Notamacropus eugenii: one gene and its partners. The main gene of each other region encodes a partner of the protein of the gene in region 3 in a complex. Links are inferred from orthologs where the notes say so. Each region holds a gene or a part of one and is shown on either strand. Other genes may lie near its edges.

Evidence for each region.
Region 1: PCNA (region 3) and MCM2 share a complex: the UniProt entries of both Homo sapiens proteins name them as parts of the replisome complex. The link is inferred for Notamacropus eugenii from reciprocal best matches to the Homo sapiens genes PCNA and MCM2.
Region 2: the proteins of PCNA (region 3) and LIG1 are in contact, whole or in part, in a cryo-EM structure (PDB 8B8T), measured with the Homo sapiens proteins. The link is inferred for Notamacropus eugenii from reciprocal best matches to the Homo sapiens genes PCNA and LIG1. Residues at the interface, in NP_002583.1 of Homo sapiens: Met40, Ser43, His44, Val45, Leu47, Leu126, Gly155, Arg210, Ala252, Pro253, Lys254, Ile255; in NP_000225.1 of Homo sapiens: Ala361, Gly363, Arg364, Ser368, Ser388, Thr389, Gln390, Arg391, Leu392, Met393, Leu394, Val432.
Region 4: the proteins of PCNA (region 3) and ZRANB3 are in contact, whole or in part, in a crystal structure (PDB 5YD8), measured with the Homo sapiens proteins. The link is inferred for Notamacropus eugenii from reciprocal best matches to the Homo sapiens genes PCNA and ZRANB3. Residues at the interface, in NP_002583.1 of Homo sapiens: Met40, His44, Val45, Ser46, Leu47, Gln125, Leu126, Gly127, Ile128, Pro129, Asp232, Val233, Pro234, Tyr250, Leu251, Ala252, Pro253; in NP_115519.2 of Homo sapiens: Asp1071, Ile1072, Thr1073, Phe1075, Leu1076, Val1077.

What each region holds. Positions count from the first base shown.
Region 1 is NC_092874.1:427,038,839-427,046,336, reverse strand, and holds the start of MCM2 (DNA replication licensing factor MCM2), read left to right. Parts: upstream 1-4,483; 5' UTR 4,484-4,595; coding exon 4,596-4,601; intron 4,602-5,915; coding exon 5,916-6,160; intron 6,161-7,498. UniProt on the Homo sapiens protein: Acts as a component of the MCM2-7 complex (MCM complex) which is the replicative helicase essential for 'once per cell cycle' DNA replication initiation and elongation in eukaryotic cells.
Region 2 is NC_092876.1:12,034,720-12,042,394, forward strand, and holds the start of LIG1 (DNA ligase 1), read left to right. Parts: upstream 1-4,663; 5' UTR 4,664-4,967; intron 4,968-5,099; exon of another isoform or gene 5,100-5,139; intron 5,140-5,481; 5' UTR 5,482-5,527; coding exon 5,528-5,544; intron 5,545-5,799; coding exon 5,800-5,886; intron 5,887-5,981; coding exon 5,982-6,123; intron 6,124-6,220; coding exon 6,221-6,329; intron 6,330-6,719; coding exon 6,720-6,989; intron 6,990-7,096; coding exon 7,097-7,169; intron 7,170-7,292; coding exon 7,293-7,373; intron 7,374-7,609; coding exon 7,610-7,666; intron 7,667-7,675. Other genes in the region: uncharacterized protein, read right to left, coding at 838-1,150, 3,438-4,051.
Region 3 is NC_092872.1:632,582,285-632,589,907, reverse strand, and holds the start of PCNA (proliferating cell nuclear antigen), read left to right. Parts: upstream 1-4,623; 5' UTR 4,624-5,188; coding exon 5,189-5,409; intron 5,410-6,015; coding exon 6,016-6,113; intron 6,114-6,201; coding exon 6,202-6,269; intron 6,270-7,345; coding exon 7,346-7,540; intron 7,541-7,623. UniProt on the Homo sapiens protein: Auxiliary protein of DNA polymerase delta and epsilon, is involved in the control of eukaryotic DNA replication by increasing the polymerase's processibility during elongation of the leading strand.
Region 4 is NC_092876.1:298,454,922-298,462,934, forward strand, and holds the start of ZRANB3 (DNA annealing helicase and endonuclease ZRANB3), read left to right. Parts: upstream 1-5,013; 5' UTR 5,014-5,875; intron 5,876-5,879; exon of another isoform or gene 5,880-5,998; intron 5,999-8,013. UniProt on the Homo sapiens protein: DNA annealing helicase and endonuclease required to maintain genome stability at stalled or collapsed replication forks by facilitating fork restart and limiting inappropriate recombination that could occur during template switching events.

The DNA of each region.
Region 1 (7,498 bases), on a different chromosome or scaffold from region 3:
AATAATCCTGTCCTGAAAGAATTTACATTCTAATTGGGCTGAGAGAGCTCTAAATCAAAGACACTGAGTATTTGCACAGAGCAGCAGATTTTGGAGTAGAGATTGTTAAAGGTGGTCTTTAAGGATCTGTACTGACTTTTGAATGGTGGAAAGATTTCCCTGGAGCTAGAGATTGGGGGAAGTCAGCCCCCACATCTCCCTTTATTCTCGACACTTAGAGGTTGTTAAGAGCAGATTCCCCTGGATAAGATTATTCTATTTCTCCTTAGTAGAGTAGAGATTTTATCTTGCTACTGTCTGAAGAGTTCTTGTATGTTCTTTGATCTCTTCTAATCTGTATAACCTCCCCTTTCTTTATGTTTTACTTTGATAAAGAAATTTACCAGCTATTTGTCATGGTCTTTTGTATAATCAGTTTGGCTGGAGGGAGTTAAACTGGCAGTGGGGAGCCTAGTGTTACCCACCCCTTGATAGTGATGGGTAAAGTGCCTTTTATTCTGCATCCCTTATTGTACTGATGGGCTACAGATATTTGTTATGTGGTAGATAGATATAATTTTAGTCCAATGTCCTTCTTGGCAATACGAGAGTATAGGAAAGACCACACAGCTATGTTGATTTGGAATCCCACCTACTCTTTCCCTGCTATACTACTGGTAGTATAGGCAAGGAACCTCTTCTTGCTCCTCACTGAGAGAAATGATTGCTTCTCCCTCATATTAGTAATCATTTATTGCCGTAGGACAAGAATTTTTTCAGAAGCCTATAGGTTGTTCAGTCTCTGAAGGACATTGCTGATAAATGAGATTGAATCAATTTTCTCCTCAATCTGGTTCAGACCCCACCCAACTTTACAAGGAATTTAATCTAAGGTGGGGAAGTCCATTGTGCTCTACACAGGTATGGGTGGGGATGAATTCTTTAATTAAATTGCCCAAGGCGGGGAAATTTAGAAGTAAACAATATAATGAAAGTTACATCCCCACACCCTTCATTAGAATAGGTCTACTTCTCATTGTAATTTTCTTTCTCTCTCTTTGTTAACCAATTAGAGTTGATTGCCACCCTCAGGAACAGGCATTCTTCCAAGGTCACAGAAACTGCGAGCCCACCACTGTGATTGGTTTTTGGCATTCCAGAATGTCACTGAGTCTTTTATTAATAAAATGCTAGCATTATTAATAAAATGATTAACTACCCAGAAACTACATCTCTCAGACTTTTTAAATGTCACATCACAAAGAAGAAATCACAGGGACCTATTGGAGCTCATTATACAGGGTGGGGAGAAAAGAAAACATTGTTATACACAATTTTTTTTTTTAAATCTCACTGGGAACTGAGTGGAGGATGGATTGAAATGGAGAGAAAATTGAGGCTGGAATATTAGTTAAAACCCTATCACAGTAGTCCAGAAGATAGATTATTAAGACTGAAACCAGGACGGTTGCTGTGAGAATGGAGGAAATGAGATTTCCAGGAGAGATATTGTGGAGGTAGAAATGATGAGATTTTGCAGTACTTTGGATATGAAGAGTGGAAAGTGAAAGAGGACATTAAGATTGTAAACCTGGTTGACTTGAAGGATAGTGATACCCTTAACAGAAATAGTAAAGTTTAGAAATGAGGAATGTTTGGGAGAGACATATAAGGAGTTCTGTTTTGGATATGTTGGATATAAGATGCTGGAGGACCAGCCAAGATGGCAGACTAGGAGGAAGCAATGCAGCTGAGTTCCCCACAGCTACATAAACAAATATGTCAGATAAGCACCTGAACAAACTGTAATCAGAAAACTAAAGTGAAATCATGGTAGGTGATCTTTCCAGCAGAAGACCACATACTCAAACCATAGGCAAGTGACTATGAGAGTTACTGTGGAACATGGATGAGCCAGGATTGTGGAGCCAGACCTGAGGAACAGAATGAGGGGACTGGAATCTTGGTCTTTAGTCCTTGGGTTTGGGCCATAGTTTTGTCACTGTAACCCTGGAAAGGAGATCTTAGCTCAGTGCCCTTCCTCACTCCCCATTCCATGAAAAGGATCTAGGATGCAGCTCCTCTTTACAGAAGACTTTTCTTTTTTTTTAAACTAATTTATTGTTAGTTTTCCACAGACACTTACACAAGATTTTGAGTCCTAAATTTTCTCTCCATCTCCCCCTTCTGCCATTCAGAGGATCCCAGGATTGTGTTCATCCTTTGTTGCCGAAGAAGATCATGCCATCGGAGAAATCATTTCTCCCATGGCATGACTTGCACTTGACTTTGTTTTGAGTGAGGGAGGGCCATGCAGGTCACCAGCCTCACTTCTCCACAGCCATTTGAATCCAGTGACCAGATATTCATCAGAATGACTGGAGATGCATGTTTGAAGAGCCAGCAATGGAGACCAAGATGGAGCCGTTATTAAGAGAAAAACCAGGACACACCACTCTCAAGAAAACCTAGAGGACAGTGTATTGTTGCATGAATCCATTGACTAACCATTGCCAATAACCCAGCAAGAGAAAGAGACAAATTTTTACTGCAGTTCATTCAGTGTGACACACTCCATCAGCAATTGATGGAAATGTGTGTCATTCACAATCCAACTAGAAGTATTTACATAAAACCAAGAAGAAAAGATGGCTGCTTATTAGAAAAGAGTGTGCTCATTAAGGAAAATGTCTATCACTAGCTACAGAAGATAAAAGATCTAGTCGTTGTTAGTACAGCTAGTTGTACTAAGTCAAAAGGAACTATACATTATGTCAGACAAGATAAAGAAGGGAAACATTCCTTGGGCTGCTGAAGTCCTCCTTTCCTAGCAATTAAGTCTTTTGTACCAATTAGGGGAAGAAAGAAGATACTGAAAGAAATCAGCTGTGGCAGTTCGTTCTGTAGTTTATGCAGGGCCCATACACAGCAAAATTACAAATACAGAACAAAATCATTAGCAACTCTGGAGTGGGAAGTTTCTATTTAATGATGAGACTGGAAGCCTGATCATACAAGGTTTAGAAAGGAGTGAGAATAGAGGAAGAGAAGGTCCTAAGTGTAGATTATTTTCTCCAGGAGATCAGTCATCAATGAGAGGATTGGCATAGGATGATAGCTTTGGGTATGGTAGGATGGAGTGAGGGAATTTTAAGGCTAAGGAAGACAATAGGCATGTTTGTAGGTGGTAGGGAAGGAACTGGAGGCTAGGGGGTGCAGTGGATAGAGTACAGGACCCGGAGTCAGGAAGACCTGAGTTCAAATTCAGCCTCAGACATTTATAAGCGGCGTGACCATTGGCAAATCAGTTAACTGCTACCTGCCTCCGTTTCCTTAACAGTAAAATGGGCATAATAGTAGCACCTAACTCCCAGGGTGGTTGTGAAGGTCAAATGAGACATTTGCAAAATTCTTAGCACATCCCAGCTGGACAAATGATAGTTGTTTTCCTTCTATGGTAGATAAGGATCTCTGAGATCCTTAAGGGATAAGAGAATGGAAAAGACGGTGGGGGCAGTGGCTGGAGAGCTGAAGAGATGGGTTCAAGAGAAGTTTGCCTTGGTAAAGAGAAGGGCTGTCTCTTCATCTGAGCCCCAAGTGAAGGGGACGTAGCGGGGGAAGGATTCTCCAGGATGGACGGGAGAGGCCAGGTCCTCCCCTAAACAGGCGGCGGGGAGGGGCGCTGGGACGCTTGAGGACAGAGGTCTGGCGCGGCCGGGGTGGACAGTGGGCAGGAGGACGTCTGTCCAGAAGCAAGGGCTGCGCGCAGCGGTGACCGTGCGGGAGCCGGAAGGCCCTGAGGCGGGTAGGGAGGAGAGAGAACTATCCCGGCGTGCGGATGAACGACGGCATATTCGGGAAATCCAGAGTAATCAGAAAGACGCTCACTGAAACTGCCAAGGGTCAGCAAAGCTGTGGTCCGCCCTTTGGCCCCCCGAGCGCCCCGGCCATCACGCCGGGCCGGGCCGGCAGTCCGGGTGCAGCGGCCCCCCAGCGCAGGCCCGAAGTCCGAGGCAGGGCTAGCTCTCCGGAAGGCCTGCCTCATCACTCACTTCTCAGGTCCGCCCTCCCACAGCTTCCTGCACCGTTACGTAAAAGGGGGGCCCGGAGGGCGAACAACGAGGCCCACGTGGGACGGCCGGGAGCGCCTACAGCACCGAAGGCTCCTGCGGCCCCTCGTCAATAACCGCGGCGCTTCTCCCGGGTCCCAGGCTCGGTACACGCCGCCCGCCCCCCAACCCGGCCTTCGGTCCGGGCCGACTCCCCAGGACCCCCCGCTGCGAGCCGGGCGCAGGCCGGAGAGCACTAGCGGCCGGCAGACGACGCGGGGGCGGGGGGCGGGACTGAGAGGAGTCCTGGTTCCCGGGCCCCGCCGCCGAGCGGCCCAGCGCGAGGGGGCGGGGCTTCATGCTCAGGACGGCGTAGGATTGGCTGGAGTATCTCTGGGCCCGCCTCCTGACCGCCTTCTTTATGCATATGAACGACGTGCGCCGGGAAGCGTATTGATTATTCATGACGTTTCGCGGGCTTCTCCGGGTCACGTGGGCTTTTTCGCGCGAAAACTGTTTCTCCGGGTCGGAGGGAGTTGTGGATCTGGGAGCTGAGCTGAAGCAACTATGGCGGTGAGCTGGGCTCTCGGCCAGCCTGAGGGCGGGGAGGCGGGGGGGAACGTGACCGAGAGAGACCCGAGAAGCGGATACGGGGGTCCTTGAGGGGCCCGGTGGGGGCTGCGAAGAAATAGGGATAAAGGAGAGGGGAGGGGGTGGCGGGAAGAGAAAAAAAAAAAAAAAAAAAAAAAAACGTGAATGTTGCGCACGCGCAGTGAGCAGACGAGGGGCCCTTGGGCCTCCTGTGGGGGTGGGGGGAAAGAAGTGAAGGTTGTGCGTTAGTTCCTCCGGCTTTTATTTGTTTAGGGCCCTGCAGTCTCAGGGGGGATGAGGCCCCCACCTGCAGGGAACTGTGGGGACGAGCCCACTAGTGGGGGGGCAGATGGAAGGTCATTCTGGGGGAGAGGTTACTGGGGGGCGGGAGGGGAAGCATGGGTGGGGGCGGGGCCGCCGAGAGTCCGACAGGCTAACCGTGTCCGGTTCTGGGCCCAGAAAGGTCCTGCGGGCAGGGGCCAGGGTCAGCGGCTGCAGCTCCGCAGAGAAGCCGGGGTCCGGTGGGGGCAGACAGGCACCCCTGGGTGCTTTAGGGGGCTGAGGCGGTGGGGGGCGGGGAAGGACCGCGGTTAGATAAACTGCTATCCAGCGCGTCTGACGTCACCAGCCTCCCGCCCCCCACTTAAGCCAAGTCTGCTCCCAGGGTCCGCCTGAACTCGGGGGGAATGAGCATAGAATATAGTAAAGTATCTCAGACGTGGGGGGCGGGGCACTAACCAGTGGTTCAGAAAAAGCCCCTGGAGGGAGGGTGGGTGAGCCGAGCTTGGAAAGGGCAGGCTTCCCGGGGGAGGGAGCGCTTGAGCTGGGCTTTAGAGAATGGATAGAAATTCAGCTGGTGAAGAAGGAAAGGGGGGATGGCAGGGGGCCTTAGGGAGCTGTGAGCAGCAAAGACCCCAGTGCTGGAGCTTAGCTAGCATCGTAGAGGGAGGAGGGGGCTCCTGGGGACTGCCACTGAAGAGCCTTCCCTCTGCTTAAGCATCCTCACCTATAACTGGAATTGGCACCAGGGCTGAAAGTGCCCCAATTTATTAATCTCCCTTTCGTTTCTCCCTTCTCTACTTTGATAGTTTTTTTCTTTTAAAAATATCACTCTCAAAGGAAATCTCTACTTTGTGGGAGCCTTTTCAAAGGAAGGGAGAAGAAATTTGTTTCCTTACACTTCATAGATCCTATCCTGGACCCCAGCTCTTTTGCTGGAACAGGTTCTCCTATGAAAGCCTCCGTCATTGCCTCTGCACAAATGCAGAACTGCTGACCGGTCTGATCCTTTTTCAGGATTCCTCAGAGTCTTTAAATATAGCCTCCTCTAGTCCAGCCAGAAGATACAGACGGGTCAGTGATGGTTTGACATCTAGCCCTGGGCGGGGTTCCCGGCGTGGGGGCACTGATGCTTTGACTTCCAGCCCTGGCAGAGACTTGCCACCTTTTGAAGATGAATCAGAGGGTCTTCTGGGCACTGAAGGGCTTCCTGATGAAGACGAAGAAGATGGAGAAGAGCTTATTGGAGATGGAATGGAGAGGTGAGAGGTTTGAGAAAAAAGCAGAATTGATGGTGGGATGATCAGGGCGTTTGAGAATCATTCTAGACCAGAACCCTATTCTTTAGGATTGGCTAGTTAGGTAGGATGCCAGGGAGTTAACTGCATTTATTACTACTTTGTAGCAAGTTTCTTCCCCCTGCCTCAGTTTTCCTTCCAGAATATATGGAGATGCCAGTGAAACATAACAGAATTTTTTGGGTGTAGCCTGATCTATCCTTAGGGGAAAATGTATATCTCTAACACTAGTTGCAGTTTCATGATGTATTGTTGGTGGGACTGTCTCAAAGAATTCAGTCAGACCACCTCTAGTCCAAGTGTAGACATTTATGAGAATTGATGCCCCTCAGAAGCAGGATAAGGTTCCAAGAGGAACCAGCAACTTAATAAGACAGGATAGGCAATTTTATACTGTAATGATGTTGACTACACAGCAGAGATTATGTATATTAAAAAGGCAGAAGGGGTTTGTTAAGGGATTAGGTAATGGGGGGAGCCCTTCTATGACTCAGTTGTCAAGCATCCTGGTCTGGGTGCTTTCTGATTGGCTAGCTGTTATGGTCCTGTCAGATCAAGATGGATAGTTGGGTATTGTGGTCCTGTCGTGGGCTAAAATGGATGATGTGATTGTGGTTAAGTACAAGGACCCACCTGTTCAAATATGTGGATTGTGTCTAGGGTCAGTGGGGTAACTAAGGGCAATAGCTGTATTGAGACTGGGGGCCTGTGATGTGGTTAAAGCCAGATTGTGAGGTCAAATCAGGGCCTGCTTGTTATTCAGTGAGTCCCCTAAGGAAGTTAGAATTTTGGGGCTGGGGGCAGCTTTATTAGGATTCCATCACTTTCATCAGCAGAAGAGAAAGAACAGATCAGTGAATTGGACATGCAACTAATAAAAATTAGATAACCAACAGACTTTTAAAACTCAAATGCCAAAATGGAAAACTTGAAAGTCAAGAAATTAATAAAATTGAAAGCATAACATGTGGAGAGTCATTTTTCCTTTGCTGAGATAATGTATTATATAGTTAAGTTAAAAAGTGCACCAAGACTTGGGAACACCTGTATTTTGAGCATTAGGTTATAATTGGGCAGATAACATTGCTCTAAGGACATTGGAGATTCTGTACTGTTCTTACCAGTGCTTTTTTCATCCAGTATTCTTTCTCTGATGGCAGCATCAAAAGATGATGTGTGGGAAAGCATACCTACCTACCATGACAGTGACCATAAAGATTGATTTGATGTTCCCTAAACATCCCTAACTTTTGAGTCATAAATGTCTATGTCCATTAATAAAGTGCTTTTTGATCTCTGAGG
Region 2 (7,675 bases), on a different chromosome or scaffold from region 3:
CTCTGCCCTGTGAAGCCAAATGGAACAAGGCTCATCATATAAGAGCCCCTCCCCACTCAGGAAAGTATTCAGCAGAGATTCTTTGACATCAGTATTTAGAAGAACCCTTTCCACTCACCCACCCCCAACATGCCCCTGAACACCTCCCTAGGAAGAGCCTGGCCCTCTCCCCAAGGGCTTGGCCCAGGTGACCCTCAGAAATCTTTAGCTCAAAATTCCTCAAGACTAGGACATCCAAAGGCCCCTCCAGTTCTAAACCCTTAGAAGCAGGGCCTCCTGACTTGGTCCTAATGGTCCATGTGAGGGGTAAGGTTTCAAATTCACATCATTTTTAGAGAACATTCCCTGGGGGTTAGGAAAGAGCCCAGAGCCAGAGAAGGGAAAGACAGGGATGGGGCTGGACCCTGCCATGGGGTCTCAGAGATAGACAAAACTCCTGCATAAGAAAACATCTTCTACCAATACTGATTGGCACTTTTTTGTGCCATTTCTGGCCTTACCCAGCTACCTAGAGACCAGAGTGGTCAAGACTTGCCCAGCGACACACAGCCAAGCAGAGGGGGACGGAGCCAAGACTGAACCTAACCTTCTCTCTAGTCACTGTGCAGCCCCCATTCCTTTTCTTCCCCATGAAGAAAAGCCAATATCCTGGAGGCCACAGGCAATGGCTTTCTGCCACAAAACACCGCCCCCCCTTGCCCTTGCCCAGTTCTCCCTTGATGTCTTCCCCCTCAACCCACCCAAAGAATGGACCCGGGCTCCAGCACCAGTGGCCTACCCCTCTGCTTTTGGGTCCACCCGCCCCCTCTGCCTGCCTGCCCCATGCGAAGCTAGCACCTTGGCCTCAGGGTCAGCCTGGAAGAGTCCCTCCAGGACATGGAGGGCATCTAGGACACCATGGTCCCGACTCTTGCAGTAGGAGAGGAGGCGGTGGATGTCTGAAGGGGCCACAAACTGCTTGGAGATCCTGTTGGTGGTGCGAACCGGGAGGCAGGAATTGGCAAGAAGATGGCCTGGGCGAAAATAGTTGGCAAACTCCAAAGGGCAAGCTGGATGTGAATGGGTCAGATGACACTCGGTTACCACCAGGCGGTCCCGCAGTGGGCTGAGCTTCAGGATGATGAAGGCTGGACAGCCCAGCTGGGGGTTCCTACAAGAAGAGAGGGAAAGGGAGAGGTCACCCAGCTGCCTGCCTTGCAGGGTTCAGAGATAGAAGAAGCTTAAAAGGCACATCTTTTTATAGATGAAGAAAGTGAAGCCCAGAGAGGACCAGGAATTGAACCCAGGCTTACTGACTCCCAATACAGTCATCTTCCCATTGTCCCAAAGAGTGCCTCTCTTTTAACCTGAGTTAACCTGCTTTTCTGGCCCCTCTCTATTTCTGACCATCCCAGCCAGGCTGTTTCATAACTGGGTACATCAGTTTCTATACAAATTTCTTGCATTCCCACCATACCCCCCTCTCTGCAGTGGTTACCTCCTCACACCTCCCTCAGCAAGTAAGCCTGCCTCTAATACCTACAGGAATTGTTCTAGTCTCTCTGTCTTTCCCCAGTAGTAACACCACCGTGTTTCAAGTGGCAAGTCTCTGTCCTGGTCATTCTTTCTCTTGGTGACTTAATCAGTTCCTGGAGGGTTAATGATCATTTCTATGCAGATGAGTCCAATCCTACATGTCCAGTCTCCCCTGAGACTTGCAGTCCCACTCCAGAGACATCTCAAAACCAAGTCTAAAACTGAACCTTCAGTCTTTTCCCCTAAACCTTCCTCTCTTTCACTCTTTCCTATCCCTCCCCAAGGGCATGAACTACATACCATCTTCCCAGGGTCACAAGCTCAGTGACTTCCTCACAGTGGGGCAGCTAGGTGGTGCAGTGGATAGAGCACCAGTGAAGGAGTCAGGAGAACCTGAGTTCAAAACTCACATCAGCTACTGAGTCTTGTCTTGTCACTTCTTTGTCCCCAAGCTCTCTCACATGTTCCCTCCTCTCCACTGTAGATGTCTTCGACTTTGGTATCTATCCTCTCTCCTCTCTAAGCCACCCTCCACCCAATTGTCAGTGACTTTCTAAAAGCACAGGGATGATTACCACCATTCACAGAGGAGAAAACTGAGGCCCCAAAGGAAAAAGGGATTTTCCCAGGATCACAATGCTGGTGAGTGTCAGAGCAGACACCCAGCTCTCCTGACTCCAGTACCCTTTCTCAACTCCTTACAGTAAGGTGTTGGTCAGTAGGGTTTAGTTTATTCAGACTTCTTTTACAGACAAGGAAACTGACTCAGGGAGGCATATCCTACTCCTTCCCCCCTGCCCCCAGCTCTGACCAGAGTCCCTGGTGCCAAGAGAACAAAAACTCCTTTGTCCAAAATTCAAGGCCTTTCAAAATCTCCCTCACTTTCCCTGTACTCTAACCAAACCAAAAGCCTCACTACCCTCTGAGCAGTTGCTCTGCATTCCCACCTCCCTGCCTTTGCCCACACTGTCTGCTATCCTTAGAATGCCATACCCTTTTTCCATTTCTACCCAACCTTTGGAGTCCAGCTCATCCACAAAGCCTTCAATGTTCTCCCTTCCCCTCCACATACATGAGCCACCCCTTGCTTTCCAAACCAAAACAGAAATAATCCCTCCTCTCTAATCTCAGAGCATTTCTTAGGTCCTTCTTCCTAGGCCTACATCTCCATGTCCATGTCCTGCCCCTGCCCCTGCCATGTGCTGCAATTGCCTTGGGGGCTTTATTTCAAAAACAAATGCAAGGGTCAGAGGTCACAGGAAAACAAGTGGGAACCTTAACCCTTCCCATAAAAACCTTATCATCTATTTGGAAAAAGATGCATTCCAATAAGTTGGGAATGGCAATCAGTGTAAAAGAAAGCTCAGAATGCTGAGGAGGGCCCCAAGACAAAAGAGAGACGCAAGGGGAGGCTTCCTGGCTGGGGCAGCCCTGGAGCTGGCCATGAAGGGGAGACACCTCAACTATCTTGTGGGGGACAGTAATGGGGGCAGGTGGAAAAGAAGCAAAATCCAGATGCAGAGATGTAGAGCTGACATGGACCTGAGGGGGCACAGAGCTGGAAACTGTGGCACAGATTAAATGATTCCTCCCGGGTCACCTGTCTCTACCTCCACATCATTTCTCCAGGGGGTTATCTTAGATAAGGATGGGCAGGTAAGGTGGAAGGGCCTTGAATGCCACTGGGGAGGTTAAACTTTATTCAATGGGCAGTGGGGAGTCATGGAGGGTTCTGAGTGGGGAGGGGACATAATTGGAACAATATGGCATTTGGTTCTTGGTCAAACTCAAGTGTGGGGCTCTGTACCCAGACTCAACACCAATAGGCCAAGAGCTCTGGGCCCTGGCCCGGCTCCCACAGGAAAGCAGGAGAAGGGGCAGAGGCAGGACCACCAGGCCCTGCCCCGCCTTGAGCCTCTCACCCCGCAATGCCAGGCCTGACGGCAGGGGCCCGCACATCCTTGCAGACGAGCCGCACGTATCTGTATTTGAGGACATCGATGAGGGCCCGGAGCGGGGTATCGAGGGCCCAACGGCATTTGGTCAGGTGCATGGAGTTCTTGACGAAGAAGAGGGCCCGATGCTGCTGACACCAAGCATCGAAAAAGCGGCTGAACTCTGCCCAAGAGAAAAACTCCCGATCCTGCAGCTCCCGCTCCTCCTGGGCCCCGGCCTCGGCCCACGCCAGCCTTGGCTCCGCTCCTGATTCCTTCCCCAGCTCCAGCTCGGCTTCGGGCTCCAGCTCTCGTTCCTGTCTGGGCTCCAGCTGGGGCTCGGATTCAGGCTCGGGCTCAGTCTCGGACTCGGGCTCAGGCTCGGGGCCAGACTCGGACTCTAGCTCTGCCTCGAATTCTGGCTCCCACTCCGACTCCGACTCCGACTCCGACTCGGGCTCAGGCTCCGACTCGGACTCGGACTCTGGCTCCGGGTCCAGGTCCTGATCAGACTCAGGATCCTGCTCCTGCTCCGGGACAGGTTCGGGCTCCACCTCCAGCTCCCGCCCAGGCTCCGGCTCTGCTTCCAGGTCCTCCTCCATCCTAGGGTACCTGGGGGTGGGAAGGGGAGACCCGGACCTCAAGACCAGCAGTGACCCTAAGCCAGTGCTGACCGCCAGACAGGTTGTGGATGGAAGCGATAAGACACTGGAAACGGTAGATACTGGAGCCAGACTTTGTCCATGGCACACCTGAGCCCTGGCTTCCACTGGGCTCTTTCCTGAACCTATGCCCATCTCCCACCTCTCCCCCCCCCAGAAGTGAAGCCCGACATGCAGCTGTGCCCCTCCCTGCCCCACATGTGGCATGTTTGCTTCCAGCTGTGCCCCTCCCTCCCCCACATGTGGCGTGTCTGCTTCCAGCTGTGCCCCTCCCTCCCACAGATGTGGCACTCTACATCCAGCTGTTCCATTTTTCCCCCAGATGTGGAGTCCCCCACTACGCGCCACCCCCGCAGCTTCTAGATGTGACCACCCCCCCACCAGATGTGCATCTCTCCCTCCCCGTCACTCACCCCTCCCGCCCGCTCGGAGCCTGAACGAGCGGCTCCTGACGCCTTGGACCCTCCCACAATGCCCCGCGAGGCCAGGCTACTGGCCCGCCCCTCTTCCCAGAATGCTTTGCTTCCCCTCCGCTGGGTCAGCTCTTGCCCTTCTTCCCATCATGCCCCGCGGGCTTCCGTCCGGAAGCCTCGGCCAGACCCAACCCATCCCCCAGCTTCTCTTCCGAGAGCAGAGGTCCTGCCCCTCCCACTAGGCTGGACCACAACTCCCGGCGTGCCCCGCGAAGCGAAGGGGAGGGCAACCGGTCGGTGAAGTCACTCTCCTGGAGCACCTCAGCGCGCGAAAGTTGAGGCGCGAAGTGGGGCTGGTGGCTGGAGTGGAGCCCGAGCCGAGCCGGAGCCGGAGCCGGAGCCGGGAGCCGGGTCGGAGTCTTGGTAGCGTTACGCGAAGAGAGGTCAGCGCGCTGGGGGAGAGTTTTGGGGAGGGGGGGGCACAGAGGAGACACATATATAAACATACGCACAGCGCATGCTCCAGGCCCGCCGGCCTTGCTGACCCTCGGAGATGGGGAGGGGGCCGAGGGCCTCTGCGCATGCGCGAGCCGGGGAGTGGGGAAAGGGCTCTGGGTAGGACTCCTGTCAGGCCGCCGCGGTCCCCCATGGCCTCCAGCACGGCCCCCACCTTCGTCCGCATCGGTCTCCCTCTGCACGTCCAGGGCTCGGCCCGTGGCCGGCACACGATGGACGCCAGGCCGGACAGCGGAGGGAGCCTCGGACCCAGGACAGTCCGTGCGGGGCCTCCTCTGGAGGCTGCACCCCTCCCCGGCGCCCGTTACCTGAACCCCTGGAGAGAGGGGGCGCCCCGGGGGGGTGAAGGTGGGGGCGGGGCCCGGAGAGCTGGGGGCAGCGGGCAGCTTGTGCCCCCCGCGCCCATCCGGCATCCTCACACATCTGTACGTTTGGTTCCAGGAGGCGCTGCAGAGAGGAGGAAGGAGGGCAGAGCTCGGGAGCAGGCATGCAGCGATCCATCAAGTGAGGAGCCCCCCGCCCCGGCCCTGCCCTGCCCTGCCCCTGTGCCCGGCCCTGGGCCACCTTCCTGCCCTTGGCCCTGAGCCCTGTGCCCGGCCCTGGGCCACCTTCCTGCCCTTGGCTCCTCCACCTGTGCCCGGCCCTGGGCCACCTTCCTGCCCTTGGCTCCTCCACCTGTGCCCGGCCCTGGGCCACCTTCCTGCCCTTGGCCCTGAGCCCTGTGCCTAGACCTAGCCTTTCTCTGGTGTCTCCCCGCAGGTCATTTTTCCAACCTATGAGTGGGGACAAAGTGAAGAAGCAGGAAGAGTCCCCCAAAAGCAGCAAAGACAAGGAGCCTGCCTCCAAGTTAGTGGGGGGGTGATCTGAGTGGGCAGGGGCTCTTTGGGCTGATTGAGCATCCCTGACCCTCTGACCCCTTCCTGACCTGGCTTCCCCCCCAGGGCTACCCTGAAGGAGAGGAATGCCATAGAACCTGAGAGTGAGTCTCCAATCAAGAGGCCTATGAGGAAAGTGCCCCGAGCTCTGGGCAGTGAAGGTGAGGAGGAGGAAGAGGAAACAGCCCCAGCATCCCCCCAACAGCAGGTAACCAGCCTCTGGAGGTGCAGCAACCACTTTTCTCGCTTGCCCCATGGGGAGTACGCACTCTTACCTCCCCACACCCACTCCTTGTCGCCTGCAGGAGCTGACCATCCCCTCTCCGGCCACATCTCCAACCAGCTCAGACCCATACCCCTCAGACTCCTCACCCAACAGCATCTCCCCAGCAGGGATCCCAAAACGTCGGACAGGTAAGCGAGGGCAGGCTCATCTCTGCTCTGTCTCAGCCTTCCCCTGAGCCTCCAGACAGAGTAGCACCTCCAGCAGGTGCCTCCAAGGTAGCCCTTTCTCTTAGCCACCCTCCCCTCCACCTACACATGGTCCAGGCCACAGGAGTGAAGACCAGATTGAATCCTCAGCAGGCTTCTCTCTTCTGCCACTGAACTCCATTCCCCCTTACTGCTGCTAAAGGTCACTGGGGGTACCATGGGAACTGAGTTCAAATCCAACCTCAGGTACTGACTAGCTGTGGAAGGCTAAGCAAATCATCAGACTACTGCCTGCCTCAGTTTCCTCATGTGTATAATGAGGAGGTTGTCCATCACTGATTGCTCCCCAATCCTCACTTGCTCTCTTCATAGCTCGGAAACAGATGCAGAAACGGAAGGTCCAGGAGCTGCCTGAGGACTGTGAGGATAGTGAGCCCAAAAGGCTTAAGAGAGAGAGAGAGGAGAGTGCTCAAGGAAGAAGCCCAGAGATACAGCTGGCCACAGAGGCTGAGAAGGGGAACCAGCCTCCTGCAGAGGCTGTGGGCGAGGCCCTGGAGCCACAGGGCACTAGCGGTGAGGCAAGGCAAAACTCAGAGCCAAAGGCGCCCACGCAGGCACCCAAGGCTTTCAGCAGCTTCTTCGGTGAGTGTCTCACCTCTGGTCTGGGGAGGGCCAGCCTCCATTCCACACTGGGCTTGGGGGTTCTAAAGGGAAAAGAGCGTCTCCCCAGTGACACATTTATTCCACAGCCCCTCGAAAGCCAGCTGCAGCAAAACAAGCTCCAAAGGAGAAGGGGAAGGCAGCGGAGGAGATGTCCAGGGCGTAAGTTGGCCTTAGAGGAATCTCTGCCTTCTGGCTGGCCCCCAGCCAATCTGTGCCTGGGGAGGGAACTCCAGGGAGGGGCAAGAGGACCAGCTCCCCAGCCCCTGCCTCTCTCTGCCGCAGGCCCCCAGACCCAGGCACCTACAACCCTTCTAAGAGCAGCTATCACCCCGTGGACGATGCCTGCTGGAGACCAGGGCAGAGGTGAGGGCATGAGGGGCACCCCTGTCTGTGTTCAGGTGGTTTGCCCAGTGTATCCCCGTTAGACTGGGAGCCTGGCACATGGTAGGCCTTAATGTTGATTAGCCGGCTGAGTCCTTTATGGCTGTGAAGGTTTCATATCATGGGGAAGGGGAGGGTGATCGTCTCGCTCCTCTTCTGCCACCCGGCTGCCCTGTACCTGGAAGACCCCCTAGCCCCTCTGACCTTGCTTCCTACAGGGTCCCCTACCTTGTTGTTGCTCGGACATTTGAGAAAATTGAGGAAGTCTCCGCTCGGTAAAGTCT
Region 3 (7,623 bases):
CATACTGACTTTCTAGATGGCTCAGTATGTAGTGATTGAAAGAAATAAATACAAAGTAGTTAAATACAAGGTATTTGGAGATGGAGGACAGGCACTAGCAGTGATTAGAAGAGATGAGGAAGGCCTTCACACAGTGCTTGAGCTTAAAGGAAGAGAGGGACCCTGAGGTAGAGCTAAGGAAGGAATGAATTCCAGACATGGGAGATGACCAGTGCAAAGGCATGGAAATGAGAGGTGGGCTATCTATCAAAAAGGAATAAAAAGGCCATTTTTGCAGAAGTAAAGTCCAATGAAGTTGAAAAGATAGGTTGGAACCAGGCTGTGAAGGGCTTTAAAAACTAAACAAAGGAGCAACAACAAAAAAAGCTGTAGGAAGCCTTAGTATCTGATTAACAGAGCCACATAGTCACATTGACACTTTGAGAAAATTTCTGTAGCAGCAGTGATTGTGGTTCTGGTCTGCTACCATAAAGGAGACTTTTTCATTGGCTGGGGATTCATAACCAGAAGTGGAGAACATTCAAGGGGTGCTAGTTCATCTTCTCTAGGTTGGACTAGAGAATGGACCAATCAATAGGCTGATACAATAATCTAGGTAGGAGGGGAAAATGATCATTTGCATAGCTCCTACTAGGTAGATGCTATTATTAGCTCCATTTTACAGATGAGAAAATTAAGGCACTTAAGCGTCTTGCTCGGGATCATACAGCTAATAATAATAACTAACATTTACATAGTGCTTACTATATTCCAGATGCTTTGCAAATATCCCATTCGATCCTTAAACAATCCTGTGAGGTAAGAGTTACTATTATCATCTTCGTTTTACACATGAGGAAACCCTAGGGTCACACAGCTAATAATTGTCTATGATCAGATTGGAACTCAGATGTTTCTGATTCCAGGCCCTGCACCCTCAGCTGCCTCTAGGTTGATAAAGTAGTCACTGCGTGAGTGGAGAAATGTTGTGGAGGTAGAAATGGCGAGATTTGGCGACTAATTGGATAGATAAATGTAATGAAGAATGGGCAGTCAAGGGTAATTTCGAATTTACAAACCTCTGAGACTGGTACCTTTGACAGACATAGTGAGGTTTGGAAGGGGGGGTTTGGGGAGAAAGATAATGGGTTAAGTTTCAGACATATTGAGGTTGGTATGTCTTGGAAAGAATCAGTTTGAAATGTTCCATTAGCCACTGGTGATGAAGGACTGCAGCTCAGGGAGAGATAGGCTAGACATTCTTATCTGTCAATCTACATGGAGATGGTAATTAAAGTTATGAGAGTTGATGAGGTTCCCTAGAGAGTGTAGAGAGAAAATAATACCCCTGCTACTCATAGCATAGCCTTCCGAGCCTATTACCTTTCAAATACACTCAATTGTCTGCATTAAGAGTTGGAGATATATAGAAAAAAGTGAAAATAGTCCCTGAATTCAAAGAGCTTACATTCTACCATTGGGAAACAGATGGTGTTTTGCATTGTTCCCTAACTATACTATGTAGGCAGTGAGAGCTACAAGAAATCCTAGAGATCATTTCTGGAGTCCAGTGCCTTTCTTTTTTTGTCATCTGTAATGGGATATGGGCCAGTGAGTCCCAATGCCTACGAGCATGTGTAAGGTACATCTGATGCAATCTCCACAAGGACTTAGAGAAGAAACTCTGTAACTGGTTCTGGTCTACTTACCATAGAAGAATTTTTAACTGGCTGTGGCTTCATAGTTCAGAGTGAGGAGCATTGAAAAAGTATCAATTAACCAGAATGTGCCCTTCCCTAGGCTGACTTCTTCCTGTTGGGTGACCTTCTGGTGAGAAGGGAAAGACAGAGCTATAATGAGAGAGGCCTCAGCCACTCTTTATCCGAGTTGGACATATAGGTGGAATAAGCAGAAGTTAGAAAGCTTAGAAAAAATTGTCATACTAAGCAATCTGATCTTTTAAAATACAAAACACCTACATCTTCCAGACTCCTCAGGAAAGTTTAGATGAATTAGTCTTTTAACTCATTTATATCTTTAACTATACTATTATTAGTTTTCAAGTTTCATTATTATAATCTATAATTCATTTTTCATTCTCAAGTCTCCTTGTCATTTTCTTTTAAAATTTATTCTTAACATTCATTTTTAAAAAAATTTTGAGTTTCAAATTGTCTCCCTCCCGCCTGCCCCCTCATTAAGAGGGCGAGCAATATGATATCAATTATTTATAGGAAATCATGCAATACATATTTCCCTAATACCCATGTTGGGAAAAAAAGGAAGAAAAAATAAAATGAAAAATTATGCTTCAATCTGCACTCAGTGTTTATCGGTTCTCACTCTGGAGTAGATAGCATTTTGGCATCATAAGTCCTTCAGAACTGTCTTGGATCATTATAGTGATAGGAGTAGCTAAGTCTTTCACAATTGATCATTGTTATTTTATTCCTTTTACTATGTACAATGTTCTACCGGTTCTGCTCACTTCATTTTACATCAGTTCCCAGGCTCTTTGGAAACTACCTTGTTATTTCTTGTAACACAAAAAGGTTCCATCACAATTATATATCACAACTTGTTCAGCCATTCCCCAATTGATGGGCATCCCCTCAATTTCCTTTCCTTTGCCACCAAAAAAAGAACTGCTATAAATATTTTTGTACTTATCGGTCCTTTTCCTTTGATCTCTTTAGGATACACACCTAGCAGTGGTATTGCTGATTCAAAAGGTATGCACTGTGATAAATTATAGCCCTTTAGGCAAGGTTCCAAACTGTCCTTCAGAACTGTTCAGTTCACAACGCCACCAATAGTGCATTAGTGTCCCAATTTTTGTGTAGGAATACATTTAACTCAATAGTGATACAGTAAGGAACAATATAAGGGAAAAAAGATATAGGGATGGGAAATAGAGGGATTCAGGGAAGGATTTGCCATAAACAAAACAAACCCTAAGCTTGGAAAGAAGGGATCATGAACAGGAGGTTAAAGGAAAGAAAGAATAACAATCTCTAATAAAGTGAGTTTGAGGAATAAAAATGAGAAAAAAAAGAAAATAGAATGGAAGGAAATAAATATAAAACTATCTTGAATGTAAATGCTTGACTGTGGTTATGTGATACAGGGTTCTTTATTTCTTTTCTCAGTAGGAGGGGAGGTAGGAAGGAGAAAAAAACGCTTGATTATAGAAAAAAAATTTTTCCGTATAGCTTTAACAGTTATGTGAAAGATGTATTATAGACATGAAAGGAGCAATATAGATAAGGTGAAAGGTGACAAGGACCAGAATTAGGAGGGTGTCCATGTCAATGGAGAGAAGGCGATTGATGTGAGTGTGGAGGTAGAATTGAAAAGACTTGGCAACTGAATGAATATATGATGTCATGGTGAATACATGATGAAGGAATGGAGGATGCCTCCAAGGCTGAAAACCTGGGTGACTAAAAGGATAATGGTGCCCCCACAAAAACAGGGAAGTTTGGAAGAGGAGCAGGTTTTGAAGGAAAGAGAATTAGTTCTGTTTTAGTGATGCTGAGTTCTACATGTCTGTAAGACATCCAGTTTGAAATGTCCAATGGCAGTTGATGATGCAGGGCTGGAATTTGCAATATATATCTGGGAGTCGTCTTGGTAGAAACAAAAATTTAATCCATGAGAGTTCATGAAGTCACTAAGAGACAGACTGTAAAGCAAGGATTCCCAACCTCTTTCTGGCCCCCTATCTGGCTTTCAATAAATCCTTCGGTACCTCCTTTCAGTATGAAAGGAAATAAATTCTAACGTTTACTATGCATATGTACGTACAAATAAAATGTAGAGATGAATTTTCCATAATGAAAATTTTATTTCGCACATACCATTTTTAGCATTATAGTTACACTCTCTCTTCAAAACTATTTTTCCCCACTCACACTACTTCTTTGGGAATATTTTAAAGGGATAATAGTTACTTACCAAATAATTTCTTTACCCTGTCCTCGGTCTCCTAGCATCCCCCAAGAGTCAACCTACCCCAGGTAGAGAAAGTGTGGGGTGGAGAGAACAAAGCCTGGGGGCGGAAGGCGCTGGAGAATGGGGCAAGGAGACGCCTCGGTACCGAGCCTCCGTGACTTTGGGCCAGTCACCTAATCTCCCTTGACTTCAGTTTCTTGATGTCAAAGAAAAGGGGTGGGAAATGAAATCCAGCTACGTTCTCTCTCTTCCAGCCGCGGACACACAGGTCCACTTGGTTTAATCCAACAAGCCACCCGCTAAAGGCATACAGAAAGAAAGTTATTGGTACCTAAGAGTTTAAAAGAACCTTCCTCACTGGATCCAACCTTTCCATTTGACGGATGAGAACCTAGAGAACGGGAAGGGGCCAAACATCCCCTGCCCACCAACTGGCCAGAGCACGTCCATGGTTCTTTAAAAATTACAAGTCCTTGGGTGAAGGTAAGGTCTTTCTGTTGTGTTCAGAAACTTGCCAGCAAAAAAAGGTCGTGGCAAACGTTACTGCCCATTACCCTAGAAAGAAGGAACGTGCATTATCCATGCTTATCGTGTGCCACGCACTGTAACGTACTATTTTTTCTGATTAAAACATGAGTGAGCCACGGCTTGTGGAGCCAAAGGACCCGGGTTGGAAGGCGTTTTGCCACTTGCTACCCATGTGACCACCCCGGGCAAGTCATTTCAGCTCCAGGAGGCCTCCGCTTCCTCGTCTGTAAACTGAAGGGATTAGATGAAAGGCTCTCCAAGGTGGCTTTCAGCTCTAAATCTCACTGTCCGAGGAGTGAGCCACCTTCCTGGAGTGAGGTTTTAAACCAAAAATAAAGCCCCCGGCCCCAAACCAAAAAGGATTGAGAGGAGGTGAACCTGAACAAGCCCGGGCAACGAGGAAAGGCGGGGTAAACCTGCTCCCTCTGATTGGCTCAGGAGGTTTAGGGGGACCTTCGCGATGGGATTGGTCGAGGGAGCACCAGTAGCGTTAGGGAGGAGGCGGGCGGTTACGCCGTGACGTCATAGCGGCTTGCCGGCGAGCGCGCGAGGCGGAGCAGCGGAGCCTCATTTGGTTAGAGGCGGCGGTGGTGAGTGCGTCTCTGCCCCCGCTTCTGCTCCCGGGCCGAGGACCTCGCCTCAGTGGGTGAGCCCAGCCCTGTCTTCCCCTCGAGCCTAGGCCGCTTGGTTTTTCCTCGCTTCTGCTCTGGTATCGCTGTTCGCCACCATGTTCGAGGCAAGGCTCGTGCAGGGCTCCATCCTCAAGAAGGTGCTGGAGGCGCTGAAGGACTTCATCAATGAGGCCTGCTGGGACATCAGCTCGGGCGGGGTGAACCTGCAGAGCATGGACTCGTCCCACATCTCCCTGGTGCAGCTCACCCTCCGCTCCGAGGGCTTCGATACCTACCGCTGCGACCGCAACCTGGCCATGGGCGTTAATCTCACCAGGTGAGCTCGGGCCTCCGGTGCTGTAAACACAGTGTTCCCTCCCCCCGCCCCCGGGCTTCTCCCCGGGTTCTTGGCGGGAGCGCAGCCGAGCGAGGTAGTTCTTGCTGCCCGGGCCGGGGAGCGGTGGGGGGGGGGGAAGAGGCGGACGCGCCTCATTGGTCCTGGCGGCGGCAGGGGGCGGGGCCGGGCCGAAGCGCGCGGTTTGGGGAAGGGGAAGCGCGCCCCGGCCGCCTCCCGCCAACGTCATTTCGGCGCCAAGCTCACAATGCGGTCGGAGGGGCTGTGGCGGGAAGGCTTGCGTCCGATGCCCTCTATTTAAAGTGAAAAGCATGTCCGCTCCACGAGAGGCCTCGTGGCCGGAGCGAGCCCGGCCGAGGGAGGCGGCGGCGGGGCGCCTGTTAGGGAGGGCCGGCGGGCTGTGCTGCTTAACAAAAACCGGGATCGGCGTTCGGGTAAGGAGGGAGATCGGCGGTGCCTCCTGCCACCGGAATGTGCCTGTTTACGTCCACCGTGCATCTGCGTGTGCCCCGTTACAGGGCCGGCTGTAACCCCTCCGGGGCTTTATCGATGAACGTGTTTATTTACTGCTTGTTCTCCGTTGTCCAGCATGTCCAAAATACTGAAATGTGCCAGCAACGAAGATATTATTACCCTAAGGGCCGAAGACAATGCAGATACGCTGGCGTTGATCTTTGAGGCACCAAGTAAGTTTGTCCTATAAACGCGTACCCCGCTTTTTAGTTATAACACCAATACTGAAATATAAAATGGCATCTTGTGTTTTATTTGTAGATCAGGAAAAAGTTTCAGACTATGAGATGAAATTAATGGATTTAGATGTTGAACAGCTTGGAATCCCAGTAAGTATCGGAGATTTCTTGTCATATGTCTCATTATAATAGTTAAATAAAATTAATATGACCAAAGTCAATCTCTAATACTTATATATTTAGGTTCTAATATGTAAAGAAAATTTTTGGCATGAGAGAAAATCATTTTTAATAATGTGACATTCATTTTAACTTAATATGTACTACATTGTATATCTATTTAAAGAAATAAAGGGTTAAATAAGTCTAAAATCAGTGTTAAAATTCTTTGATTTATTAAGAATGAATAATAATAACAAAAATAATACAGTTAGGATTTAGAGCTAGAAGCCAATTTAAAAGCTTATTACCATACAGCAAAGCTAAACAAGTTAAATGTTGCCTGAGGTCGTAACTGAGAGTAAAGATTTGAGCTTCAGGTCTTTACTCTCCAAAACATTGGTTTCTACCACACTAGACAGCCTCTTTCCTCTTAATTTCCCTTCATTCGATCTCTACTATAATATTTGTATCTTAATTTTTAAGCTCATTAGACTTTTTTTTATTAATAACAGTTTATAAGGAGCTTTTCGTAGACTTTAATCATTTCCAAGGAAATATAAATTCTTATTATCTTCATCAAAGTAGAAAAGTGATTGGATATTAAAATTTCTAATATAAAAGTAACTAATTTTTTTTGGAAAACAAGTTTTTGTAAATTATACAGCTACCCATATACCCTTTCTGTGGCCCATCTTTATGTATCTAACAGGGCTGTTAATATTGATAATCTAGTATCTAGTAGGGTGACTGGTATCGAAACTCTTGGTCATTCCAGAATACATTCAAGAAAAATAGATTTGGCTACTCATAGCTATTAAATAGTTAAAATAGAATTAAATGTGCTTTTCACTTCCTTTTACATCAAATATTCCTTGAAAAGATAGTTGTACTCTTAAGCTTTCCTAAATAAATTATTTAATTGTCATAACTTAATTATCTTTTTGGAGTAGGTGTTATTCAAAAGAATGCAATTTCATAGCTCTTAATTCTTTCAGCAAATGAGATCGATGACATCTAAATATTTAAACTCCTAAATCATATTCAAAGCTGTTTTTGTATTACAGGAACAGGAATACAGTTGTGTGGTCAAAATGCCTTCTGGTGAATTTGCACGAATCTGTCGGGATCTCAGTCATATTGGAGATGCTGTTGTAATCTCATGTGCAAAAGATGGTGTAAAATTTTCTGCCAGTGGAGAACTAGGAAGTGGAAATGTAAAATTATCACAGACAAGTAATGTTGACAAAGAAGAGGAAGCTGTAAGTCAAATTTAAATCTTGAGAAAATAATTTAAGTACAGTGAATTAGGATATTGGTAAAGCAAAACCTATCCAGAGTTGAA
Region 4 (8,013 bases), on a different chromosome or scaffold from region 3:
GTCAGTCAATCAGACACATTGTACCTTGACCCTAAAAAGTGATGTCATTTTGGTCCTTTTCAAGCATGAAGGATAACAAGCAGAAGTATTTATGTTTAGTTCAACTACAAATGTTCACTAATATAACCATTATTAAGCTGTATGCTATGCACTACAAAATTGTCTCCAATGACTTTGGAAGATTTTGAAAAATCAGATTCTCATTAAAGACATTACAAAAGCTCTGCACATACGTATAGAAATTTACTGGTGCACAGACAGTATTTTCTTTTTTGGGGGGTGGGGGTGGGGAATGCTTTGAATGGGAGGAGACATGCCAGCCTAGGTAGTAAAATAAAATACATCTGAATTTATCTAAAAGTAAACTGGGACTCAGTGGTATAGTAAATTGGTAGAATATAATCATTCTTTATATACAAGTCAAGCATAGCAATAAGGGTAATGGTACAACCACAACCAGCCTACAGATTGAAATACTACATCTCTGCTACTGGCTAAATTTTAAGGTGATATCACGTAACTATACATAAGTATTAGATGTTATTTCAAATTGCTAGTATTCAAGGAAAGGTAAGGATAAAGAATATAAACAGAAGGAGTTTTCCTCAGTTATGGGAATAGTTATGTATAGAAATAATGTACAATCAAAGCTAGAGCAACAGATCATTGCAACTGATCTAACTCTGTCCTTATGAAAAAGGAACAAACCTAAGCTACAGGACATCACAGGTTCACTTTTTCTGAACAAGTAGTGTTAAAAAAAAAAAAAAATAAGCTCAAGTAAAAGACAAGAGTTATAAATTTAAAGGCTACAGGAGGCACAGAGAGGAAACCAAATGAGAGATAAAAACGTGTCAGAGGCTGGCAGGAAGGAAGAAGACGAAAAATTAGTGAATGGCAAAAATAAGACTGACTTTTGAGGGGAAAGAGTCAGAATATTAAGGGACAAAACATGGGATGGAGGGAAGAGTCTTTTGGAATAGGAAAGGAAGAAATGACTTGGAAACAGGATTAAATAACTAACCATTTTGCTTAATTCTCTGAGCCAATTTTCTAATTTAATTACTTTTGTTTAAAAAACTGATTTATCAGGTATAGGTAAAATTTACTTCCATAAGAAATACAGTCACCATATTCTACTGACTTAATTACACAGGTTATGCACATATTAAAAAAAAAAATTCACTAGAGTTAAGTGTTTATTTTAAAATAGAGTTACCAAAAGAACTGACATGAATCCTTTATGAAACAACTTCTAGTTATTTACATGTACAGGTATCATTCTAAAGATGAGGTATATTGTTCTGTGGTTTGTAATTCCTTGCAATACCCAGAACTGTTTGCAACAAAAATATAAGATCTGCCTTGAAGCTTCCCTTGAAAGAGCTGACTAATAGTGATTAGTTATTTTAATGACTTCATAAAAAAGTCAAGATTTTTAAAGGCTTTACATTTTAATATTCACAATATTATTACTTGGCAAAGACTGTTAACTACTACAGCTACATTACTAAAGGACTTGAGCTGAACATTTACCAAAAAGGGTATTCACATGTACTAATAAAGGAAACGCTTTCCCCTTCAAAAATTATGGAAGTTTATTTCAGGACTAATAGGTAGGTATTCTGAACTGTAACCATCATATTAAAAACCCTAATAGACCATTCAACTATATAGGGGGATGTGGGAAGAACATGAAGGAGACTACCACCTGCTACCGCAGAGGATCCAGATACTGTCCAAAGGAATTGAGTACTAAAAAGGATCTCATTAGAAGAGTTTCATGGATACCATGGTCCATTTGGCAGTTATCCTAATGATACCTTTATAATAAGGCTTCAGTAAAGGTTGAAAATTGATTGCTTGGAACGTCTGGAGAAAAAAAGCTACAACTTTGGTAATATTTTTTATGTTTTCTTATATATTTGATAATGAATGACTTTTAAAAGTAATTATATATGACCTACAGGCATGACTTATATTAGAACTATACCTAAAAAATGCAGTACTCAATTTCTGCAAAGTTGGCAGTATTTTTTTTTATGCTTCTGAAATAAATTATTTTGAATATGTATTTAGATTCGCCTAAGTTACTGACTCACCTTCCTACTTTCTCTGTAACACGAAGTACTGGATATGGATATGAAATTGCTATATAGTATTACTGCTGAAATCAATAGGTACAACCTTTAATTAAACAGGAATTAGAGAATATTACTGTAGTGAAGGTATCATAGCCCAATATGTCTTCTATTATTGTTATTCCATCTATAGATGGCTCTTAGAGTAAAAGTCCTTGAAGGGCAGAGATGACCTCTGATCTCTGTAAGCCTCAGAGTCATTCAGAAAATGCCTTGCACATTAAGCTTTAACAGATTAAAAGCACACCAAGACTCTTAAAATAATCTGTATTTGTGGAATGAGAAAACTGGTAAAGCACCATATTTGAAAACAAAGGGAACAGGTATAAATTTTATTAGCTGTAATAATCTTGACCTTGACCAATTTATTTCTTAAAATTTTAGCTTTGTATTGGAGTGGAGAGATTATTGCATTTGGAGTTAGGAAGATCTGGGTTTGCACTGTCTCAGGAACTGGGCCCCTGGAAGCTTCAGTTTCTTTAACTAAAAAATAGGGATGATATTTTAAACTATATTTTAACTAAAAGATAGGGAGGATCAAATGAGATAATAGGTGTAAAATGTTTTACAACCTTAAAATGTTAGAGATATCGGCTATTATGATTACTTATCTATAAAATGAGGCAGTTTGACTAAATAACCTCTTCCAAAGCTGTGTTCCTTTAATGTTATGAATATTTGGTTATCAGTTTACTCTTAAGGTTGAACTTAACATTGAATTGAATGAAAGGATGGCTTTGGTTTTAATACTGTTATTCAGTGGTCAAAAAGAAGCAAGCATCAGTACCAAAAGGCATTTTCTAAGATCAAATTAGTTACATTTAATCTTCTCCAAAATAAATTAACGATATCTGATCTATTTACTATGTAACTTTTCTTTCTAAAAATGACAAAGTTGTGAGTCAAACTACACCCTCTTCTCAATGGTCACAGTATAAGTAAAACTACCACTCAGTTAAGATAGTATAAACACTTACATGGGTGTGACAAAGTAAATCTACTTAGCATTTAGGCTGATCCTAGCATATGTTTAACTTTCCCCCCAACCCCCTCCCAATTAAGGCAACTGGTAGCTAAAACTATCAAAAGATTAAACAATCCAAAAACCATCTATTGATGTCTACTGAGTATCCACTAGCTTTTTCTAAACTGAGTTGTTCCTACAGGAAGGGTTGGAGATGTTAAAACAAAATAGTGAGAAGTAACCTTACAACAGGGTCCTGGAATTAAAACAGATCACCAAATATCACCTCTGCTGCTACAGATAGCTACCATATGCCAAAGGAAAATGCTACTTCATCCAATCCTCAGTCTGGGGACTAAAGGAACTAGTAAAAATGCAATAAGCTATCACAATAGGTGCTTAATATTGACTATTATTGACAGTAACTCAACACACAAACAATAAGAGAAAGTAAAATTAGATTGTACAAACTACTCTCCTTATATTTGGAAAAGAGCAGACAATCCGTTTTTTTTGCACTGCACTTTCACTCCCTGCAACATAACTTCATGTGAGCTTTTAGTTAGTTTGACAATATTTTCCAATTTTCATAAGTTTCATCTTCTTAAAAATGGCTATTGACCAAAAGCGCTAAACTCACACTGAGAAGCATCTTTTCAGTGTTGTATTAGAAATTTGAAAATAAGCCAATCCCAGAAAAGCCAAGTTAATGTATTCAGGTGGCTTCAGACAGAAAACCACCTTTGGGTCAAAGGACCAGAGAGAAGTTGGGGGGGGGGGGGGTAGAAATAAACCACCCCCAAACACCCTACTGCTAATTTTCTCGACCACTTCCTTCAAGCACACCATCACCAGAAGGAGAGGAGCCCTTGCCAGGGGTGTCTGACCCTGACAGCGTTTCTCAGCCTGCCCTTAGAGCTTCTTAGGACAGACAGATGAACAGGAAAGATTTCACTACCAGCCCCACTGCCCCGCTGAAGGAGGGGGGGAGTGAGAGCGTGTGAGTGTGTGAGTGAATGTGTCTGTGCGGGGGAACATTCAACATTTTTTCCCGTCAAAGCACTGGGACAAGGGCTTACCGTTTGCTCTAAACGCAAGAAAAGATTTTTTTCGAAATAAACAAAAAGCTTCCCCTGGCCCCGCGAGGCCGTGGCTGCTGCCCGGCCCCGAGAGTCGGTGTGTTGAGGCACGGGCCCCCCCACGGAGAGATCGGCGTCTCTCGGGCCTGCTGTTTCTGTTCTCCGAGTCCTCGGGGACGCAGCAGCAGCTACAGCAGCTGCAGCCGCCGCCGCCATGGCAGGGACCCGGGCACCGCAGACGGGGCTCCCCCCGTGCTTCCTCCACTAGGCCTATGGGGACTCGCTCTACACATGGCCCCGGGCCGGGGGGAGGGGGAGGGGAGGGCTGAAGGAGGCCCAAGGTTCGGCGGCCCGGGGAGGGGGGCGCGTCTTTCGAACCCCGCCGGTCGGGGACTGAGGGCGCAGGCCGGTCCCCGGGACCTCGGCCAGCTCAGCTGGGAAGGCCACCCCCAATCCCGACACACCCCCTCCCCCTATCTGCCCCCCCCCAAGCACCTTCTCCGTTAGAGCGACCGGTTGGCGGGCGGGGGAGGGAGGAGCGGTACACCGGGGAGCTGGAGCGGGGGATGGAGGTGGCGGGGGGTGGCGGGGTGGTGGTGGTGGAAATGTCTCTTACCCGAGTTACTGAGGAGGAGGAGGAGGAGGAGGCGGTCGGAGCGCGGCGCAGCAGGGAGACAGCGGGGTTGGGTGGGCGCGACTGGGAGTCACAGGGGAGAGAATTAACCCCATCACCAGCCCCGGACACCGGCTCCAGCGGCTACCGCTGCTAACGAAGACCCGCCCACCACCACCACGCACTAGCCGCCGCCCGCCTCCTCCAAAGGGAAGTCGGCCAATTGCTGGTCGGAGAACTGAGGAAAGACACCAACTCTCACCAATCAACTTTCGGGATCCGCCCCTTTTTTTACTCCCTCCCCCCCACACTGCTGTGCCCCTCCTGGGCCGCGGTCGAGCTAAGTGCCAACCCTACTTCAGCCCGGAGAAAAAAAAGAACCAATCGGCTTCAGGGACCTCCGCTTGAGGGACGTGGCCATTGGCCAATCCCGGGGTCGCCCTGGGTGATAAGGCTTTTCCTTCTGTAACGAGGCCACCTTTTCCCACGAGTGGGATCCTGAGGATCAGGACTGTGATTAGAGTACTAGAGTGAGAAATCAATACCGAGAGTCTGAAAAAAGGATCTTTCGCTCTTGTGATTATTACGGTTAGAGAAGAGGAAACGTCCTTGAGCTCTAAGATGGGGCTTATTTGGAGCGTCGGTCCTCGGAGCTTTCAACACCTGGCTTCAGTAGCTAAGGACGATGGTTTCCCCCCCACCTTTCCCGCACACTTCTTAGCGGGAAACTACAGTTCCCATAATGGCCTGCAATATTCTTCCAACCTATTCTTCCTTTATCTTCCGCTGAGCACCATGGGAATTGCAGTTTCCAGGCGGGACTTGCGACCTTGGCCAATGGGAAGGTAGAAGGCGTGGGGCGGGAAGCCAATAACCCTCCCCCACCCCGCTCTTTCTCAGGTGAGGTTACGGTGTACTGCAGACTTTTCCTTTCCAGCCTTTTTCGTCCTCCAGACTCGTGAGGCGGACGGAAGGAAAGTTGTCTCAGGAGACGTTGTCAGAAATGAGATTGGGGTTCTCTTCCCCAATCCCTAGCCCCCGCCTTTCCTTTCGCCGCGTCTCCTCGACGTCACTTCCGGTAAGGGGCGGGCCCACGCTCCCAAACCCTTGGCGGGAGCCTGAGCTTCAGTGTCCCCCCGTCCAGGTGTGGGTCTGAGTTCGGCGTGGTGGACAGGTATCGTCCGCCTCTGCTGCCGCCCAGGTTTGGATGGGGATATTGGAGGCTGAGTAGGGGAGATGGGGAAAGAGAATGAAGGAAGTGGGCGGGGAGGGGGGGCGGGATTGCCATGGCCTGTTGCGCAGTGGAGAGTGTGCGGGACCTGGAGGCCGGAGGACCTAAATTGTTAGTTCTGTGACTCTGGACAAGTCACCTAACCCCTGTCTGACTCAGTTTCTTCAGCTGTAAAATCGGGATAATAATAGCACCTGTTTCGCAGGTTGCTGTGAAATACGAGATATTTGTAAATATAAGATAAATATTAAAAAGATACAAATATAAAAATAAGTTATTTGTAAAGCATTTTGCAATCCTTAAAGTAACAGATACTGGCTGTTTCCATCCCTTGGCTTGTCACGCATTATATAATTTTTTTTCCTATCCTCCTGGCCACTGAGTCAAGCGTTTATTAAATGTGACTCTAGGCCAGGTACTGTACTAAAGGCTGGAAATTTAGAAATAAAACAGAACGCCTCAGACAAAATATGTTCCTTGTCGCGGAGGAGCTTCCATTCTAACTGGGGAGACGTTATTGTGTTTGCCAAGAGCTATGTGCAAACACGATAGATCCAGGATAATTTCAGAAGGAAAGCGCTACCATTAAGGCAGACACGTGGTCAGGTTAGTCACTTTGGGAAGGAAATGAGCATTTATTAAGATTCTCTACAAATATCTCATGTGAACCTCACAACCATGGAAGGTAGGCACTATTATTAATTCCCATTTTACTGTGGAAAAAACCGAGGCAGAGATTAAGTAATTTGACGAAGATTGTTAACATCTTCCTGATTCCAAGCTAGCCCTACATCCAACTGTCTCTGTATTTAAAATGTGTATGTGTATACATATAAAAGTATTTTAGAAAGCTCATAGTAGGTGTTCCACAAGTATTTTTTGCCTGAGGCCTGTGTATGTAACCAAGCTGTCCATGAGCATGACATGCCAGAGAAGACAAAAACAAAGTGATTTTGGATACTGCCTAGTAATAGCGGAAAGAGGTCTGTACCTGAAGTTGAAGTGACAAGCTTCACATGCTATGTCTGCCACTTAATGCCAGCCTTGGGCAAGCTAGTTGCCTTAAGTGGAAAATGAAGGTGTTGAATTTGTTGAATGCTAAGATTTCTCTCAGTACTAAATCTATGATCCTGTGAATTCATCCTCCCCAAAAGTTTTTATATGGGTGAAATTAGGCTAATATGAACCTCAGAAGTGTATTTGACAGAAAAAAAAAGTCACAAAAATACAATGTGCGGTTTGAGGGTAGGATAGAAGTCTTTGCCTTGGTAAGAAAGGGCCTGCTGGTGGTTTGACACAGCTGTGTGACCCTTAAACCTTCAGCATTGGCTAAGGAATTGTTTTCTCCTTGAGACATTCTAGAAGAGGAGGCCCTGACTTACTGTATCTTAACTGTTTTTGAATATCAGACATCTTAATGCCCTTTATCTTATGATACAAACGGGGGAGGGAACACTAATATTGGAATCTCCTCTTTTTTTCCACATTCTACTCATTCTGAGACTTTCATCATGTTTTTTTGACTTCACTACCTTCTCTACTTATTTCACCCCTTTTCACTTTGTGGTACCTCATCCCAAACATCCCTGATATATACCTTTAGCTTTCATGCCTGCATTGATTTTATTTCCTTCATCAACTATTTCCATTTGTACTTCACATTTCATTTGCTCTAGATTGTAGGCTTCTGAATTGAAAATAACAACTCTTATTTCTGTGGTATTGTAACTTCCATATGGACTGTTGCACTCAGATACTTCAGTGGTACTTATATAGTAACTCACGATGGACTTTTTATCAGCTTGTACTTAACCTGGTGTAATGTAAATCTGTTTAAATTTTTCTCTATTCCTGTATTCACCAAGGCAGAGAATATTGAATTGAGTGTACTAGGGCATGGAGTGTTGAGTAAACTAGAATTAAAGAATTTTAGAACTGCAGTGGACCTAAGATACCTAATACCTTCAGTTTACAGGTACAGTCTA